2 linked regions of the Saccharomyces cerevisiae S288C genome follow. The gene in region 1 interacts genetically with each later gene. Each region holds a gene or a part of one and is shown on either strand. Other genes may lie near its edges.

What was found.
Region 2: mutations in ZRT3 (region 1) and PUB1 together harm fitness more than expected from each alone (negative genetic interaction), as found in Saccharomyces cerevisiae (2 studies listed by BioGRID).

The regions. Positions count from the first base shown.
Region 1 is NC_001143.9:116,913-120,807, forward strand, and holds ZRT3 (Zn(2+) transporter ZRT3), read left to right. Parts: upstream 1-1,880; coding exon 1,881-3,392; downstream 3,393-3,895. Other genes in the region: LST4 (Lst4p), read right to left, coding at 1-1,074; TPO5 (Tpo5p), read right to left, coding at 3,468-3,895. UniProt on the Saccharomyces cerevisiae protein: Transports zinc from storage in the vacuole to the cytoplasm.
Region 2 is NC_001146.8:601,066-604,853, forward strand, and holds PUB1 (Pub1p), read left to right. Parts: upstream 1-1,841; coding exon 1,842-3,203; downstream 3,204-3,788. Other genes in the region: YNL018C (uncharacterized protein), read right to left, coding at 1-709. UniProt on the Saccharomyces cerevisiae protein: May be associated with hnRNA within the nucleus and remains associated during nucleocytoplasmic mRNA transport, once the proteins are in the cytoplasm, disassembly of PUB1-RNA complexes may occur prior to PAB1 binding and formation of a translationally competent RNP complex.

The DNA of each region.
Region 1 (3,895 bases):
TCCTGACAGGATTACGATCTTGGATGTCTTTAGTTCTCTTATAGTGTGCCTGTAATCAGATATAATCATTGCCATTAGGAGAGGAAGGAAGCCTAGTTTCGGTCCATCTTTGATTTCAATCCAATTAAATATACTTTTGAACCAAACGTGAACGAATTCTTTAAATGTCTCAGGGTAAAGGAAAAGCCTAGGAATCTCAGACATAGAACGTAAACCTGGTATGACTCTTTTTTGTAAAGTTTGCACCATTATTTCAATTTCCTTGGGATAATGCGTCCTGATGTCAATATTTGACAATTTTATGACTGAATTATTGCTGTAATTGCCAGTATTTTCTTGCATAATACGGTTTTTAGTCAAGAAACCAATGAGCATTTTTTGAGTCTGGGTCAACCATGATGAAATGGAAGACCACGACTCTGCAACTACGGGCAACAATATCCTCGGTATGCATAAGCTAATTGCGATGCGGTTGTATTGGTGTGTGTAATAGAAAATTCTAGTTATGAGTACCAAATCCGAGTTAGGAATCGTCCTTATCTTGTCGCACTGCGTCAAATCGGAAGATCTTACGGGAGAACCAAATATATATTCCTTCAATTCACTCGGCCGTATCTGCTCCATCGAATTTGAAATCTTTGACGTAGTGTAATCGAAGATATCACGGTAGTTGTTCCTACACGCCATTTGACCCGCTTCCTCAATGATCAAAATCCTGAATGCATACGTTTTTTCGTTAATAGACGTGATTTTATCAGTACCAAGACCTCCGTTGTTTTGTAACGTATCGATAGGACGACTATAAGGAATATCCCTCGAGCCGAAAAGCTTCAGTTTTAAGTCATCCGATATATGATCTAAAATGGGCGGAGAAGTCGTTGATAGCATTTCCGAAGGCTTTTCCACATTGACTGCAGTATCTAAAAGAGCTCCAGCAGCGGTCTTAGTAGTTCCTGTGCTTGCCGCTTTGCAGTATACAGGGACATTGGGAACTACGGAGGAAAAATCGGAATGCTCTGAGCTCTTCTCAAAACCAGACGAACTCGTCTTATTTCTCAGTAAATTACCCAACATATAAACTCTCCCTCTTCACCTTCTCTACAAGGCCACACACAAGACAGTTTTAACAGGCAAATGGTACTGGAGGCTCTCACCAATGGGGTTTAAGACGCTCCAAACACACGCTCTCCTTTTTTTCTTTATATATCGGTAGCAACGAAAGCTAGTCGCAGAACGTTACACACTAAAGCAGATCAATCAATCAATCCTGAGAACCTGCTTCGTTCAAACCATCCACTAGAAGAAACACGCACGTGTACCCAAAAATAGAGACAAACAAACAGACAAAAATAACAATGATTCCTACCGACTAAAGTAAAACAACACTCACGTAATAAAAAATCCTAGATACAACTCACTTGTATTCCTCTCTTCTTTGACCATCACTAAAGCTTCTCTCTTACTATATTCCTCAAATAAAAAAAAGTTGCAATGATTACTTACCAATGTGCCATAAACTCCGTGCACCACACTAGCCTTCGATTTGACACATCTCTAAGCTGAAACTGAGAATACTGTTGTAAAACAGGTATTGGCTGCTTCATAGTACACCCAATTGCCCACAACCCAAGTTAATCATAAGCTCTTGTTGTCGATGAATTGCTCAAAATGTGGCCATTCTTTCAATTTTGCACCTCTAAAACTGCTCCGTGGGTTGTGACAACAACCTTAAGGGTAATGGACTTTTTTAGAAAGACAAATGAGATGATTTCACCTACTGGTATATCATTTATTTATACACGACCGTTTTGACATTTCAGAGTTGCACGTTGGTATATCCTAATATTCTCACAAGCATCACAGTGAAGAAACGCAAGAAAATGGAAAAAATTCCCAGGTGGTTGTTGTTTTCTCTTATATCGTCGGTGCTGTGCATACTTGGGGCCCTGTGTGTGCCGTTGTTATCGGTTGCCTTCGATAGCAAGCGCAATAGCCAATCTAAGTTGGTCAACTATGGTCTTTCTCTAAGTGCCGGATCTATGATCACTACTTCACTATACATGCTATTGCCTCGGATCGAAAAATCAAACCGGTTCAAGGTTTTTCCTGGATTGCTTTTGGGTATTTGCCTCAGTTTTTTCTTAAACTACCTAGTCCACGCTTTCGCCAGCGAATCGTTGGTACACTGTGCTGATAGCGGTGACCATGCTACAGGTTCACATATACACTCCAAATCACATTCGCATTCGCACTCACACTCACATGCGGATTCGCATTCGAATTTTAGCAACGATCATGATTTAGAAAATGCTCCCTCTGAGCATGGTTATGCAACATCTTCTTCCAGTGTTTCTGAAAATGACCCGTTGATTACAAAGGATAGCGATAGACCCCAAATGAAAAAGAAAATGTCCCTAATTGACTTATTAACCAGAAGGAAATCAGAAGGCGAGTGTTGTGACCTAAACAAGTGCACTCCGCTCTTGCAATCAGAGCAGCCAGAATATATTGCATGTGTCCCACCAGTGATAAAGTCTTCTCAAAGTGAAAGAAACGTGCCACATGGATGCGAGGGATCAGAAGATAATGGACAATCCGATGACAAGGATCATCGTGGCCTTGTATGCGTGGAAAATAATATCGGTTACGATCTTGAAAACCTATCGTTGTACCGTAAGAATTTTCTTTCGAGCCGCCATCATCATTCCTCTGAATCGCCCGAAAATTATGGTTCCAACCAGTTGTCGCACTCTTTTTCGTCACCTTTGGGAAATGATGTAACTGAGAATCCGGCCGCATTGGCAGACACACAATACCATCCCGAAAATGGTTCATTATACCCCCACCATCATCACTTAGAGACCCCTTTTTCCAAATTACTGTCTATTGGTATGCAAACTTGTCTAGTCCTTGCATTACACAAATTTCCCGAAGGGTTTATTATTTTTTACACTAACAGGTCAGATTCGTCAAAGTCCTTGGGATTTTCCATTTTTTTAAGTTTGACGATCCATAATTTTGTCGAAGGATTTGCAATGACGTTACCATTCTACACTGTTTTCGAATCTAAATGGGTTGCCATTTTGATTACTGCCGTTCTCGGTGGTGGATCTCAACCATTAGGTGCATTGATAGGTTATTTCATCTTTAAAGGTAGTACTCCAAGGGATCACGAACCCAACATGGATTTTTTACTGAGCGTTACTGCAGGGTTCCTATTAGTAATTGGTTTACAAATGTTCCAAACTGGTATCGGATTTAGCGATGGACATCATCATCATCAAGGAGAAGGTGATGAAGAAATGAAACAGTCCCATAGCTCAGGCACAACTTGCTTGAAATGGTGCTGCACTGGCGTTTTGCTAATTCTAGCGAGTGCCCTTTTCACTTGATAAATTAAAACTACGTATATTCTTTCTATATAAGTCTTTTCCCATTAAATAACGGTGTATAATCACGATCATATATCATATATCATATCTACGATCATCGGCAAGATCAAATTCTTGTTCTGCTGTATGGTGCTCATCACCATAATCGGTTATCACGTTTTCCTCATTTTCCTCAAAGGGATTTTCTGTACTACTTTTAGGATGCACCTTGATGAAACCTTCTTCAGAATTATTTTCTACAGACTCTTTCACTGTGGTTCCCGAGTTTAGAGTATGTTCAACATTGCTATCCTCTAGTTCAAAAACAGTTTCTTCCGCATCACTGGGAATTGGAGCCTTGATGTCATCTGCCAAGGGTAATCTAAAATTATACTTCCCCCATTTGAAATAAAGACCAGTGATAACTAAAATGCAGAATACGTACACCATTAAAGCATAATTCATTGTTTTGAAAGTTACAGGCACTTGCGTTGGTAGGCAAACAGAAACCATAGATAACAAGA
Region 2 (3,788 bases), on another chromosome or scaffold:
CTGCGTTAAGCGATGCGAAATTGCCGTCTGGAAATGACGATATGTGTGGAGAATGAGGAGGATTCCATGACGAATAAACTGATGAGGATGTGCTAACAGATGAGGTTAGTGAGGGTACCGATTCGTTGTTTTCTGATGCAGAGTCTGTTGTGGGAGATGTGGTAGCGTTATTTCTTTGCACAAGAGAAGATGGGAGCATAGCACGGTTGTGGGAGGAGGAAGAAAACATCACGTTGCAAGTATCGTTTACGGAGTGGGATAAGAGGTAGGAGGTTGTCATAGCGGTGCTTTCTTCCTGATGCATGGCAGAAGAAGTTGGCAGTAATTCGTTTATTATGGTGACATTGTCGTGATTAGAAAGGACTGTCTCTTTTACCATTGCCTCGGGTATGTTTTTTGGCGCCTGCCTTGAACTTACTCCAGAACAAGCCTCAGCAGAAGAATGACCGGAATGATTCCTCTTATACACGTTCCAGAGTGGAGCATTCTTGACATCATAAAAAAAGTTGCTGACAGGATCTTTGGACTGGTTGACGTTAAGTGGTTCCGTAGCTGGTCTGATGTTTTCTTGTACGGTATCACTGACGGCTGAGAAACCTTCAGAGGAACCGTTTTCGGGAACAGACTTGGAGGATTGCAAATTAAGCCATTGAAAGTCTAGCCCAACCTTGTTGCAGAAGGCCTTGAACTCCTGGAAAGATGTAGACATTATGTGGGCGAAAAACAAAATTAGACCAACGCTTTAGCAAATTTTTTCAACCTCAAATTGATATTTGAAGATTAGATCGGATGGTTTTTTTTCCTGTGGTGTAGGCCAAGCTTAAACAAGGTTTTAAGTGAAAGTGGAAATAATTGTGATAAACATGCGGAAAGAGTGCCAGCCTTAAATAATTCCGCATTGTTGCTATGTCGTTTTGTTTTTGTTTTTGTTTTCGTCTTATTGGTATTTGTTCATTTTACGACCACAAAGGATCCAGGGCTTCTACTTGCACAGGGAGGGTTGCTTGGTTAATACAATGCAAAGGTCAGAGATATTAAGATTTGTGAAGGGTGCATTCAATGAGTTTTTCCTTTAATGTGCCCTAGAAAGGAAGTAGTACGAACATTTCTCAGTCGGAGTTTGCCGGAAATTCGAATGACAGTGTAAGTTGATTTTTGTGGCACAGAGATAATGAGCGGTGGTTCTGGCACACATTTGTGACGTTGGTTTGATAGTGTGGAGGGAGGGTGAAAAACAGATAACAATGGTCTCTTGGCCCAGTTGGTTAAGGCACCGTGCTAATAACGCGGGGATCAGCGGTTCGATCCCGCTAGAGACCATTCTTTTTTTACATTTCTCGCAATGTGATTTATTTTGCTTACCCTTCCCACTGCCGTTACAAGGGAGGTGAACGAAGAGGCTTGTTAGCATAAGGTTTACGCGTTGCGGTTGTAAGCACAATGTTCTTACTAAACCTCTGAAGATTAATTATCCTAACGTATACTAATTAATTCAAAGAGAATATTTACTCGTTCTCTTTTCATCATTTTGTAACATAATTCTTTACGTATTTTCACTTCGTACTTTTTTCAACTTTTTTTGCCTTCGCTTCTTTTTTGTTGTAATTTTTCAATTTTTTTTTTTCATCGTTGGCCGTCTTTCCTTGTCCTTCATTTTCCTCTCGTAATAATCATTCAACTACGGTAAAGCATGCCTTTCCTTTTTTCTACTCTGCAGTTATTTTCATAATATCTACTGTTTCCATTTCGTGCTTTAAGTTAGAGTTTAATCTTCCCTTCTATCATCTTAATAGCAGGTTCATAATAAGAAGATTACCACATCTACTCTTTGTTCGATTCCAATGTCTGAAAATAACGAAGAACAACATCAACAACAACAACAACAGCAACCTGTTGCCGTCGAAACTCCCTCGGCAGTTGAAGCTCCAGCATCAGCAGATCCTTCTTCTGAACAGAGCGTCGCTGTCGAAGGCAATTCTGAACAAGCTGAAGACAATCAGGGTGAAAATGATCCTTCCGTAGTTCCTGCTAATGCTATTACCGGTGGTAGGGAAACTTCCGATAGAGTTTTATATGTTGGTAACCTAGACAAAGCTATCACCGAAGACATTTTAAAGCAATATTTCCAAGTTGGCGGACCAATTGCTAACATCAAAATCATGATCGATAAGAATAATAAGAACGTCAATTACGCTTTTGTTGAATACCATCAATCTCACGATGCCAATATTGCCTTACAAACATTGAACGGCAAACAAATTGAAAACAACATTGTCAAAATCAACTGGGCCTTCCAATCCCAACAGAGTTCCTCCGATGATACATTTAACTTGTTTGTCGGTGATTTGAATGTTAATGTTGATGACGAAACTTTAAGGAATGCCTTCAAAGACTTCCCATCCTACTTGAGTGGTCATGTTATGTGGGACATGCAAACTGGTAGTTCAAGAGGTTACGGTTTTGTTTCCTTTACTTCTCAAGATGATGCACAAAATGCCATGGACAGCATGCAAGGTCAAGATTTGAATGGTAGACCGCTAAGAATCAACTGGGCTGCTAAGCGTGATAACAATAACAATAATAATTATCAACAGCGTCGTAACTACGGTAACAACAACCGTGGTGGTTTCCGTCAATATAACAGTAACAACAATAACAACATGAATATGGGGATGAATATGAACATGAATATGAATATGAACAACAGCAGGGGCATGCCACCAAGTTCAATGGGAATGCCAATTGGCGCCATGCCATTACCATCTCAAGGCCAACCCCAACAATCCCAGACCATTGGTTTACCTCCTCAAGTAAATCCTCAAGCTGTTGACCACATCATTAGAAGTGCCCCACCAAGAGTTACTACTGCCTATATCGGTAATATTCCGCACTTTGCCACTGAAGCTGATTTAATTCCGTTGTTCCAGAACTTCGGTTTTATTTTAGATTTCAAGCACTATCCAGAAAAGGGCTGTTGCTTCATAAAGTATGACACTCATGAACAGGCCGCTGTTTGTATTGTTGCCTTGGCAAACTTCCCATTTCAAGGCAGAAACTTGAGAACCGGTTGGGGTAAGGAAAGATCAAATTTTATGCCACAGCAGCAGCAACAGGGCGGTCAGCCACTTATAATGAATGACCAACAACAACCGGTTATGTCTGAGCAACAACAGCAACAGCAGCAACAGCAGCAACAACAATAAATATTATGAAGAAAAGTGGAATGAAACAAAAAGAAAGAATAAAGAGAGGCAACCTACAAATCCCAAGATAAAATAAAAAAAGAACGACAAGAATCCATTCATTATATTATACTATTTTTAAAAAAAAAATTACTACGAAAAAGGGAGAGAAAAAGAAGAAGAAACTCAATTTACTATTGCTCGAAAAATAAAAGGGCCTATAAACTTACTCTATTTTTTTAGTTTTTCTGTGTCTTATTTCCTTCCTTCGTCACTGTTTAATTTTTAATACTATTATTTTCCTTTAAAATGTGAAAGTCATTGCTAATAGTGTGATAAAAATAAAGAACGTATTTTCTGAAGGCTTTCTTTATTATATTTCCTTTTTCCTTTCTTACCCTATTTTTTTTAAACATCCATCCCACTGTATTTTGTCGAGTCCATATATATAATTTTTGTTTTTATTTTTTACAACTTTTGTTAAGTATATAAAAATGCTACCTAGCGTTATGGAGACATGTCAGTCTTGAGTCCAGGCACATAAAGGCAACAGCCACTACCACTGCGCACCCGTGACGCTGCTCCAACGTTCTCATTAAGTACGGA